Arabidopsis thaliana: one gene and its partners. The protein of the gene in region 3 interacts with the protein of the main gene of each other region in a pairwise test. Each region holds a gene or a part of one and is shown on either strand. Other genes may lie near its edges.

Evidence for each region. The genes of interacting proteins can lie anywhere in the genome.
Region 1: the proteins of AGL86 (region 3) and SEP4 interact in a two-hybrid assay, tested with the Arabidopsis thaliana proteins (one large-scale study listed by BioGRID).
Region 2: the proteins of AGL86 (region 3) and AGL6 interact in a two-hybrid assay, tested with the Arabidopsis thaliana proteins (one large-scale study listed by BioGRID).

What each region holds. Positions count from the first base shown.
Region 1 is NC_003071.7:1,127,597-1,132,338, reverse strand, and holds SEP4 (K-box region and MADS-box transcription factor family protein), read right to left. Parts: upstream 3,072-4,742; 5' UTR 2,718-3,071; coding exon 2,533-2,717; intron 1,765-2,532; coding exon 1,683-1,764; intron 1,615-1,682; coding exon 1,553-1,614; intron 1,482-1,552; coding exon 1,382-1,481; intron 1,302-1,381; coding exon 1,260-1,301; intron 1,190-1,259; coding exon 1,148-1,189; coding exon of another isoform or gene 1,097-1,147; exon of another isoform or gene 1,072-1,096; coding exon 899-1,071; intron 802-898; coding exon 711-801; 3' UTR 501-710; downstream 1-500. Other genes in the region: MRH6 (Adenine nucleotide alpha hydrolases-like superfamily protein), read right to left, coding at 1-176. UniProt on the Arabidopsis thaliana protein: Probable transcription factor that binds specifically to the CArG box DNA sequence 5'-CC (A/T)6 GG-3'. Plays an important role in the determination of flower meristem identity. Involved in the specification of sepal identity.
Region 2 is NC_003071.7:18,802,540-18,807,086, reverse strand, and holds AGL6 (AGAMOUS-like 6), read right to left. Parts: upstream 2,898-4,547; 5' UTR 2,635-2,897; coding exon 2,453-2,634; intron 1,953-2,452; coding exon 1,874-1,952; intron 1,744-1,873; coding exon 1,682-1,743; intron 1,562-1,681; coding exon 1,462-1,561; intron 1,389-1,461; coding exon 1,347-1,388; intron 1,270-1,346; coding exon 1,228-1,269; intron 1,135-1,227; coding exon 980-1,134; intron 893-979; coding exon 796-892; 3' UTR 501-795; downstream 1-500. UniProt on the Arabidopsis thaliana protein: Probable transcription factor. Forms a heterodimer via the K-box domain with AG, that could be involved in genes regulation during floral meristem development.
Region 3 is NC_003070.9:11,318,008-11,321,258, reverse strand, and holds AGL86 (AGAMOUS-like 86), read left to right. Parts: upstream 1-1,711; coding exon 1,712-2,731; downstream 2,732-3,251. UniProt on the Arabidopsis thaliana protein: Probable transcription factor.

The DNA.
Region 1 (4,742 bases), on a different chromosome or scaffold from region 3:
ACTCCTCCTCCTTCACCATTCTTATTAGCATCCTCTGCTTTCAGATTCTTACTATGCTTCGAACCGTTCTTTCTCGAACCCGAAGTACTTCCTTCATCTAATGATTTGCTCGACGATGATCCTCCTTTGAATGATGTCCTAATCTTATTTACCCAATACCCTGCTGGTTTCCCCATTTTCTTAATTCTTGTTTTTCTTCTCTCTGTTCTTTGAGGTTTTAGTTGTGTTTTAAATACTGTTATGTTTGTTTGGTTTTTGGTTGGAGCCATTTCTTGAACGTGCTTGCCATGAAAATAAAATTAAAATAACATTTTGGACTTGTTCATTATAATCCAACCTGGCAAAAATTATTTAGTCGTTTTAATTATCAACATCACAATCTTAATACAAATGCAGAGCACTACTTGTTTCAGAATCCAATTCTTGAGACATGTTCTAATCCGGAGAACTTTTGTCATAATCTAACAAATTCATATGATGTTCAAAAATAAAACAAAAATAAGCTCCCAAAACAATATTTTATATTTCAAGAGAGCCAAAAAACAAAGAACAAAAAAGTAATAATCTGGTGTTTGACATTAGAGCCTTGATTATATAACAAAGTTTTGTAATAATGAACTATGTTTCTCTGGCAAAAATCAAATGACACAAGCAATGATCTTTGATCTATAAAACACACATATGTGTACATATATAGATATGTATTGTTTTCAGACCATCCATCCAGGGAAGAATCCATTAACATTCTGTGATGTTGTTGCAGAGTTGGTTGCATTTGCAGGATTGTGATTGTAATGACTGCTAATTATATCAAAACAATAAAGAAGCACAAACAAATGTTAAGTATTTCTGATTAGGTAAAATAATTCAAGGGTCTTGACTATTTGTTTGTAGATACCTCATTTGCAATGCTACATTGCCTTGTAGAGGCTTGAAGAAACCTGCTTCCTGAATTGGAGGGTTTGATTGATAAGAGCTCATGCCTTGTTGCTGTTGTTGATGTTGTTGTTGTTGTTCTGCAGCAGAACTTCCCCAAAACGATTGAGTAAGTGCTGCATCACTGTCCTCCAACTGAGAAAGAAAGAATAGGAAGATTTCAAATGACAAATGGTTTCAGTTTCTTGCGGTAAAAGATTCCGATAGCTACCTTTCTCCTAAGATCTCTATTGGTTTCCAATAACATTTCCTCCTGTAAATTGAGAAAATGAGAGCTTGTTGTATTTGGATATTGTGCAACTTTTATTATATAAAGTATGTACCTTAGTTTTGAGGTCAGATAGTTGATCAAGCATAGACCGAGCCTGGCAATGAAAACGAAACAACGATTTAGGATGAAAGATTCGAAACAAAATTTGTCGATTTTGTAAGCTTAGAAATATACCTTGGTAGATCTTATTTGTCTTAGTGATGCATCTACTTGGCGTTCGAGATGCTCAAGCTCATTCACATCCATCTCGGATAGCTCTTCACCTAGCAAATGCCTAAAAAGAAGAAACATTTAGTAACAAGAGCATATATAGTTACATTTAGATGGACTAGGATATATAAGTACCTTTGTGAATGTTGAAGGATCTCAACTCTTGATTTAAGCTTCAAGTAGTCTTGATACTTATCCTGCCAATTTAAAATAAAATTAAGGACAACTTTGAGGTCAGTCTTTGATTGAAAGAGAAGATATGTACCTGCAAGTCTTTAGCTGATTGATTTGGATCCATTGTTGCATAACTATGTTTTCTATACTTATCAACCGTCCTCGCCATACCACTTTTCATAAAAACAAATGATCATTTTAACTTTTAACATATATTGATAAACCAAACTTTAAATTTCATTATGAGAATAATATAGAAAAAAAACCTTAAAAGCATCTCCATGTAAAAACATCAAGAACATCAAAATGGGTATCAATCTCATGATGTTTGTGCAAGAAAAATAAAATAAATTTATGTGGAAATGATAAGTAGCTAGTGAAATTGAGTATCATCACAGTTGTCTCTTTATAACTTTAATAAGATCATAAGTAGTACTTGAGAGAGATACTAACTTAAAGAAGTAGTCAAAGTATTTTTTATATCTTTTACAGCTTTGTGTATATATCCAGAGGTCAATTCTTAGTCTCTTTGGAAACTCTGATCAATCCTTTGGAAACAATATCAACAACACTCAATCTCATGTGTAAAAGCTTTAACTATATTTATATATGCTCTATAGCTTCTACACATATCTACTGTACTTTTTTCAGCCATAGTCTCTACTCTCTAGCTTTAATCATCATCTAGAGCAACTTAGACGCTTTGTACGTACTTTGATCATCGTTCACTTAATCTCACTCTTTACGAGCCAGATTTATGCGTATGAACTCACAAAATAAATAAACCGTAGTTAATCAACTAATTAATTGTAACTAAATCAAGAAAGACAACAAAGTTTTCATATCCTTTATAATCCTTAAGAATCAAAACCCTAACATGGATCAAAATATAGAAACTTTGAGGGAAAAAGTAGATATATCAAAGATTAAAGAGTTTTCACCTAGGGCTGCTGCAGAATTCGTAGAGCTTGCCACGGTTAGAGAAAATGAGAAGAGCAATCTCAGCATCACAAAGGACAGAAAGCTCATAAGCCTTCTTGAGCAAACCATTTCTTCTCTTTGCAAAAGTAACTTGTCTATTGATCTTGTTCTCTATCCTCTTCAGCTCAACTTTCCCTCTTCCCATCCTCTCTTTTTCTCTCTTCTCTCACCAAGAAACCAAAACCCAACTGAAAACTCTCCTCCTTTTTATCACTAAACCAACAAGTAATGAAAAAGAACCTTTATACACACACACATCTATATCTAGATAAAGTGTATAAGTAAATGTGTAGAGTGTATATATAGATCTTGTCTCAAAAGGATTCTGGTTCTTAATCTAGGGCATGAATTGGTTTCCGGTGACTAGGTGGTGGTGGTGGAGGAGGAGATTGTGGTAGTGGTGGTGGTGGGCCAACTGTGTTCAGGTTCTTCTTTTGTTGAACTGATTTTTAAGAGAATATAGCTTTGTGTTGGTTTTGCAGAGATGCTAAGCCATTCTTGGCCAAATAAATGCTTCCAAACTTATATCCAATCTTATCAACTTTCCTTTTTTAAAAATTAATATAAAATATTATAAATTCTAAAAAGTATTTTTGTGTAGTTACATTATTTTAGTCTTACTTCATCAGGGAATATATATTATTATTAATTTTCTTTTACACTTTTGTTTTTGCAGAAAATAAAAATTGATTCCTAGTACTTTTCTAAGGAGAGTTAAGATCTTTTTTTCTCTCTCTCTATAGTCCAAACAAAATGCTTCAACTTTTCTCTTTCACTCTCCTCCATTGGATTTTTTAAAGATAATATTTACACCATAATATATAAATAGATTGCTTTCTTTCATCAGATCTAGTCCATAGTTTAATAATATGCTCAAAAAAGAAATAAGAAAAAGATTCTAAATATAACCTATAAAGATGCCTTAAATAGAGCATATTCACAAGTCCAAGTCCTATCTAATATCTGGTTATGTATTGTTCATGAAATGAAAGAAGTGCAAATAAAGTTTTGTTGTTTTTTCAGGTATTGACACGTTTAGATTATGTAGATAACACTTATAATGTATATTGTGTGTGTTTGTGAATAAAAGTAAGAAAATGATAGGCTTCTAAAAGATATGTTTTTTTCTGCTTATGCTTTGCTTCTCTTGCCGACAAGTTCTTTCGTATGACAGCTACTTCACGATCGTTTTAATGCATAAAACGGATCTATACGGTTACAAACAAATTATGTCACTCTGAAATGGTTAATCTGATATGGTACTATTTACTATTTAAAGAGAAAATTTATTTACAAAGGTTTTTACGTCTCACATGCACTATGTCTTTTTATATATATATGGTGAAATTTAGATATTGAAATATATCATGTTTTTGTTTTCTTTCCAATTTCTGAAAATTTAGTCACGTTCTTGTTCAATACTATAAAATCAGTCCAATCATGTTTTTGACACTAATATAGATGTGTAAGAATATGCAATCTAGCATTTATTAGAGGGTTTCGTGTTTAGGTTCTCTTCTTAAGAAGACTGATGTATTTTACTAGTTAATCGATTTTCATAAAATACAGTAGAACTCACATAACGACTCTAGATTTATTTATAACAATAACTCGTACATGCTTGACACAAAAATTGCAGATTGATCTTGGCAAGAAAAAGGAAAATTGTTTATGAACATTTAAGCTCTCAAAGCCTTAGTGTTTTCAACTTTTTTTTTCACTTTAAAGGTTGGTAATTGTTTGACAGGTTAATTTTTTAGGATGCTTCTTGTCAGGTTAATTTGTTTTTCCTCACTTCTTCTCATGGCATCTTATACTATCTACATCATGATGATGATGGTTGTTGTTAATTTACTCATGTGATATGTCTCACACAACTTTTTTTTTAACTTTGCTTGCTGACTCATATTTCACTTGGTACCTTAGTTATTTTGTTCAACTTCTATAGATCGATGGAATATTAGTTTTTTTCTTTCTTTCTTTTGGGTACTATAAATCTTGTTGATGGAAACTTGATGTATATGCGCATGTCTTATCCAGATTATCATGTAAAATGATCCTTATCTTCTACGCACTTGCTATCCTCCACCATTCTTTTATGGTTCCAAGTTGTGACCTTACAACATGCAACATATAGATTGATGCTTTAGGAAACATCTAAAAAGAATAA
Region 2 (4,547 bases), on a different chromosome or scaffold from region 3:
ATGAATTTATTTTGTAATGGCCCACTTATAAAAGGGCCTACTTTGCGATAACAGCCCATAAATATAAGAGAGTATTAAAAACTTAAATTCTAGTATGTAAAAAAAAAAAAAAAACCTCAATAAATATGAAGACTTTATGGAAAAGACATATATCAACAACAGTAAAGTTTGCTAAAGAAAGAGGAGCTCTTCTCTTCCAAAAGTCAAATCAAGAAACAGCAATGTGGGTCCTACCTGGCTTCATATCATTGCGCTTTTTCCAAGGTCAACTACGTGGCATTTTATTATTCGTTCATTTTTTTAGTTACAGGTTGATTTCATTTACTCACCCAATTGTTTCGGAAGTTCATTACTCCTACTTGCGTAGTTGAGCTGAATCCTCCTTTGATTATTCGTCACCCAATTGATTCGACGTCGCACGATTTATTATTTGTTCCTACTATTCACAATTCAGCATTCATAAATATATGTCTGAGATTTAATAGTATTCATGCCAAATAAATCTATTCATTTAATTGATTTTAGAACAATTATTAAAGTTTATTTCATTTGGAAAATGTTGGTAAAACCAAAACAAAAATAATGTTTTAGATCAAGTAGGAGTAAGAGGAGAAATTCTTCAAAGCACATACATGCGAATATAGATTCACACGAGCTGGAAATTAAATGACAAACATCTAGTGCAAAAGTTTTTCTTATAGGAAAAAAAAACCCAGAAATCTAATTTGAAAAAAGAACAACTGTAGAGAGCTGAAATTGGCCTGACCGTGGCATCGTGGTCTAATCAACAGAGAGTCAAAGAACCCAACCTTGGACGAAATTAGTCTCACCTGCCACGTTACTCTTTGATACCGAAGACCCTTCACCTTGCACGTAGTAATGTTGTTGAAACCTAATCCAAATACCAAACAAGTCTTATAATCATATCTTATTTCTATCCATTTATTTGTAAGGGCCGGGAAAAATGGTATATTCTTACCCTATTTGTAAAAAGGGTTCGGTGTTGCAATCCAATACATTAGGATGAGAAGGCTCTACCGGAAATTCAGAATTGTTTGGATCCCCGGCCACCGATGCCGCCGAGTTTGCCCATAAGTCTTGAAAGGTTTTGAAAGCATGGCCTTCCGTTTCAAACTATTGAAAATTTATGTTTAGTTAAGATCCAAATGTCATAATTAATTATATGAGAAGTTATAATATAATTTTGCGATGTCTAGAAATAAAAACCTTAATCTTGAGTTGTTTGTTTATGTCTCCTAGTTGCCTCTCCTGCCATTTCAAACATAGATTGATTGATATGCATATATGTTTTGCAGTTTGGTATGAAACATTTTTATATAACTTGCCTTTTTCCTAAGGTCTTCCATTTCTTCCATCATAACTTGTGTCTGCATATTTTAGTTGAATGTTTTAGTTATGAATATATTTTTAATGAAACAAGACCAGTCTAGATCATGTGACCTTGCGCTGTCGAGTCGCGGTAAGAGCGGCTTCGAGCTGCCTCTCGAGCGCTTGCAGTTCCTTCACACCCATTTCTCCAAGATCTTCTCCAAGCAAATTCCTTTTATAATTAGCAATTATCAACACCCATAACAATAGATTTGTAACTATACATATATAATGGAAGATGACAATAACGATTTAATTTCAAGGGGTTATAGAAAACTCTTAATTACTAGACCTGTTAGTACGAACAAGAGATTCGTATTTGGATTTAAGCTTTGTCACCTCCTGACACCAACTCTGCACCATATAGATTATATGAAATGCATATATATAGTAACATGAGAATTTGAGAAAATAGAGTTAGCTAGAATCATTATCATCAGAAACAATAATTGTAAATATATTCAAAGTACGTACACACACTTGCCTGTGTAGTCTCTTCAGGCTTATTATTGCTTAGAGAGCAGTTGTAACAACGATTATACCGTTCGATTGTGCTTTCAATTCTACAAATTCAATTAAAACAAAAATGGGAGATCATTAGCTCGATTCAACAAATAAAGATTCTTCTTACGACAAGAACTCAAGTTATATATCTTACACACTGATCTAAAAGGGAAAACCCTAGTTTGTTTGTTTTTTTTTTTTTTAAAGCTAGAATTAAACCCATTTGAAACCTGTCATCTGTAAGATTAAAGAATCAAAGGAATTCATGAATGGGAAATCAACAAATTATAACGTACGGAAGGACCTATTAGCTTATGATAAAGGATCCAAGAGGGAGACACGATATAACGATGAACCCTAATTACCACAGGATAAACGATACAACCATTAAGAATAACCACAAGATCAAAACATGATCCGACTCTTGAATCGTACGATGTAACAAGTAGCAAATGAACCCATTTATTAATCAATTTTCATATAAAAAACATAGCTTTATTGGATGAATCTTAATATATATAGCACAAAAGTTGGTTCAAAGGAGCAAAGATATATATACCCAACACTACCAAACTCGTAGAGCTTGCCACGGCTTGAGAAGATGATGAGAGCAACTTCGGCATCGCAAAGAACAGAAAGCTCATAAGCTTTCTTCAGCAAACCGTTTCTTCTTTTTGAGAAGGTCACTTGTCTATTAATCTTGTTCTCTATCCTCTTCATCTCCACTCTCCCTCTTCCCATCTTTCTCTCTCCTTCTCTTGATTCTGATTTCTTCTTCTTCTCAAGAATTGGTAACTTTTTTTCAAGAATAGATAAAAGGAATAAAGTATCGTACACGATAAATGTGTTGCTATATATATAAACTTGTATTACTTTCAATTCTTCTTGTTACAGGTTAATATGGTGCGTTATTACATAAATCCTTTTTAATTAATTATTAGTCGTCCTAAGTATGTGAAAGTGGCACCAACAAATGAGATATTTGTTGTTGAAGAAATTAAATATAAATATCGTCATATATTTGATGGAACAAAATGATAACTCTGTCTTCATCGTTATAGCTAGATTCCTAAAAATGGAAATCTACTTGTAACAGTCGGACCATTGAAAATTCCTTTTATTTTCTCTTTTTAATTATTAGGACTCTTTTCTTTTCTTTTTTGCTTTTTTTACATAGAGCGCGATGTTTCAAATTCAAACTAACTCATTTTGTTTCCAAATGTTATGGCTCATGTTCTTCTATAACTAGTTATTGTACCCTTTTCAAGCTATCCTAGCGTGTTCTTTTATTTGATGCTGCGCCAGCGGCAATAGCGGACTGAAACGACGTGTCATGAGAAGTAGTAGGTAAGTAAAACGACATTAAAGCTTGAAAATAACAATTTCGGATGAGTCGCCGATGATAGCCGATGAATTGCAATTGCATCAAATGAATCGCTGAAATTAAGCAGCGTCACGTCAATCTTCATCATCGTACATCTTTTGCGGCAGTTCTTCTCTAATCAATGTATTTTTTCTCGCCGCAGATCTGTTTTTCTTCTTTGTTGTCGCTGACGCTGCGTTCATTAAAAGAACACGCTAAATTAAATAGAAAATTTGGTTTTCTAATGCGGTGAAGGATTGATATATTATACTCGCAACCATGTATCTTGATTGAACCGTGATTCAATATGTTTGGTTAAAATGTCTACTTGATCTAAAATCGGACGAAGTAAACTACGTGCGAAATTAATGCTGATTGGTTTTACAAATTTGTGAACTTTTATTTGGTCAATGAAAAGGGGCAGAAAATTCATCATTGTTTTGAAGCTCTCGCAGAGCTGGTTAAATATAGTAAGATGTTGGGTTAGGTAAAATTGTCTTTAAAAATGTTTACCTCTGAAAATGATTGAAAAATGAGATATTTTCCTATATATATATATATATATGTATGTATTATTTACTTACAGTTTGATACATATATATGTATTCATTCATATATATATATGCAATCATTTACTTACAGTTTAATTGCTAATATCTGAATGATTATTTTTAATCAATTTTTTGATGTTTTTGTCCCTTGTTGTATCTGCATCATTTGATATGTTGACGATTCTTTCAACGTTATTCATCAAAACGGTAACTAATTAATTTTAGGTTTTAAACTTGGAAGTTAAATAGGGGACATTTCACTTTTTCTACAAATTTTTTCGACAGTTCAATGGAAAACGTCAAGTTAATTTTCGGCTAATGAGATATTGAAGCTCAATGGAGTTAATTAACAGATCATAAATGAAACACGTGTAAGGGAATCTGCTACTCTTTTGTATTGTAGGCCTTAACTTTTTTTATCGATCAGTCGGCGTGTCAGTGTCTTGTGGTCTTAAGGAAAAATATCCGAACCTCATCATCTCCACGAGTTAAATAGTATATATCCTTCTTCTTCGTACGAGGTTAAGACAACTAAAATCTTAAAAAATAAATTAAATACTTAAAATCAATGAATCGTTTCATATATATACATATATATATATATAATATTTATGTGCTTCGATTAATTAGTACATGTAACTATTTTACGAACGTTTAGTTATCGCCCATTTGCACATAAGTTTACAAACAAACATAGAATCATCACATTATATATTGTGCAAAATTCAAATACAAGATGA
Region 3 (3,251 bases):
TGGACCTTATTTAAGATATCTATAGTTAAACTTTTGAACATGACCTATAACTATAAGTAGCTTAAGTCGCCCCTAACTAAACATATAAATAAACATGAAAATTAGTGTTTTATGGCAGATGAAAGTTATTTATTATCTGAGCCAAAAATATACGGTGAGCTTGAAATAAAATTTAGCATTTAAAGAGAATGGAAATTAAACTACTACTGGATTGAATTATTTACCATTCTCTCATGTAATATCTTCTACTCTATAGTATTTTTATAACTATTTGAAAACATTTAATCAAAAATCAATAAATATGCTATTTATTTTAGAGAAATTTCTACATTTTGTAAATGTAATTGATAAGAAGAGAACCAGTCAAACAAAGTCTAATTAACGATGTGCATTCTTGTTTTTCTTATTTTTTGGTTATTGTTAGACCTCCATTTTTTTTGGATTCTCTCTCATTATAATCATACCACACAAAAAAAGTATGAGAGAAATAAGAGAAAGGTTCTTAAATAAGAACTTTTGGTATATTAACTTGAACTTTGGGTATATTACACTTGTCTTTTTTTAATTGGTTCATTTTTTGCTTTTAAACCAAAAATTAATATATAATTAAACTATATTTAAATATTAATACTTTAAAGTTTAGATATTTCTTTGGGTATGTAAAAACAACTGGAAGTTTTCTATACGTAGTCTAAAATCTTTAATTTCCCTATTTACAGCTTATAATTAGCTGGCAATGCAATGAAATATTCTAACCCAATAAAAGAAAAAGTATTCTCCAAAAGGTATAATATATGCATGATTTAACAAATTATCTCTAAACTAATTTATTACTGAGCCAAAAGAGGAAAGAAATCCATCTATTAATGTATAAAACAGTTATTTTATCCAAATTTCCTTTTAATTAGAATCAACTTAATGATTAAAAAAAATCAGGTGGACCTGCAGGCCATGACAAATGTTCTTTTAATATATTTATTAAAAAAGTTCATATAACCAAATCTGAGATTTAAAAAAATATATTTTTCTCTAATACTCTACTATTATATATTTTCATTTGTTATTATTGTAAGTATCAAATATTTTTACTAAATTAATTAATATAAATTTTAATGATATTTTATTATCTTATTATATTGGTTTACAAACTTCTTGGTATGTTCTCCTTTAATGTATATAGGTAGTTTAAAGATTTTCTTAGAAATAGAACACATATTTCGTGAGATTCATGTTACATTGTTTTCAAAAACTTTCGTGCTTTCTAAATATTTCGTAAGACTCACGTTATATTGTTTTCATTTTTTTTCTATAAATAAACAACTCTTTTGAGCTTGTATATATTCATGATTTTACATGTAAATTGAAGATGGAGTACTCTATTTAAAAAGAAGAAAAAAAAACACTTCAAACTATTACTAAATTTCATAGTTTATAAACAAAACTTTAAATTACTCTTAAAAGAAAAGTGAGAGTAATATAGGAAGATAAACTATTCTTAGTAAAAAGAAAAGAAAATCTATTCTTAGACATAGCTTTAATTAGTGGCCTCGTCAATTAATGAGACAGTAAACACAAAACAAATCTAATGAGTCCAGCAACGTGAAAAGCCACGTACTGTGTAAAAGCACAATTTTCATTTCTATATAAACAAGACAGTCTTGGGCCAAGAAAGTAAACAAAACACACACCAAAGAAAAGAAAAACAAAGATAATGAGGTCGAAAATTAAGTTATCACTCATAGCTAATAAGACCTCAAGGAGAACCACATTCAGGAAGAGGAAGGGAGGGATAACGAACAAACTCCATGAGCTAACAACTCTCTGCGGCGTCAAAGCATGTGCGGTAATCTCCAGTCCGTACGAGAATCCAGTGGTGTGGCCGTCAACCGAAGGTGTTCAAGAGGCGGTTTCCATGTTTATGGAGAGGCCGGCGACAGAACAATCCAAGCTGATGATGAGTCATGAGACCTACTTGCAGGACAAAATTACCAAAGAAACAAAGAAACTGGAGAGTCTACGTCGTGAAAACCGAGAATCTCAGCTTAGGCAATTTATGTTTGATTGTGTTGAAGGTAAGATGAGTGAGCATCAGTATGGTGCAAGGGACCTTCAAGATTTAAGTCTTTATATTGATCACTATATCAATCAGCTTAATTCAAGTGTCATGCTCCTTACAAACAATGGTGCGTCTTCTTCTTCCTTTCCTCCTCCGCTTCATACTTCAGTTGCGGGTGCGGGTGCGGGTGCGGGTGCTGCTCCTCTTGTTGTTGCGGGTGCGGGTGCGGCTCCTCTTGCTGTTGCGGGGGCGGGTGCGAGTCCTCTTGCTGTTGCGGGTGTGGGTGCGGCTCCTCTTGCTGTTGCGGGTGCCGGTCCTCCTATGGCTCAGAATCAGTATGAGCCGATTCAGCCCTATATCCCTACTGCTTTTAGTGATAATATTCAATACCAAGCTCCTGTGGATTTTAATCATCAGATCCAACATGGAATCTATGATAATCTCAGTTTGGATCCAAATCATCAGTATCCGTTTCAAGATGATCCATTCATGGAGATGTTGATGGAATATCCTTATGAACAAGTGGGTTATGCTGCAGAGCATGCACACATCCCTTTCATGAACGGAAACTACTACAACTACCACCAACCACCAACCGTTGGTCTTACTACCACCGGTCACATGCCTTCCAACAACGCCACCACCACCACCACCACCAACACCACCGTTGTGTGATGTGTTTCAGTAGTTTGCATTTGTGTTTTGTCCATTTCAAAAGACCAATCTCTAATAATGTCTTTTCTTTTCAGTTAATTGTTGTAAGAGTTGAAGGTTTTACCTTTAAGTCAGTTATATTTTTATGTATTGGGTAATGTATTTCTGCGCCGTAGAGCCGGATATTTCAATTATATTTGAAGAAGTTTGGTCATAAATTTGTTTTTACTTTGTTTTTTGTTCTTAAAATACATAACTAAATAGATCTGCTAAAATCAAATATATTTTGTTTCATAGAAAATCTTACTTTGGATATATTATTCGCAAAAACATCAATACTCTGTATATCTCTTTCTCAATCCATAATTTATTTACTTCCCACACCTACCTATATAGCGAGCAAATGAACACACTAAAGAAGTAAAAACATGAACATAAATAATGAACACACGTCTCAGCAAACCCAAAAGATTAACAATACAAACTGTAGCTTGTTTAGTGTTGAAAATTTGAAAAATCAACATGATAAAATAATGAAACT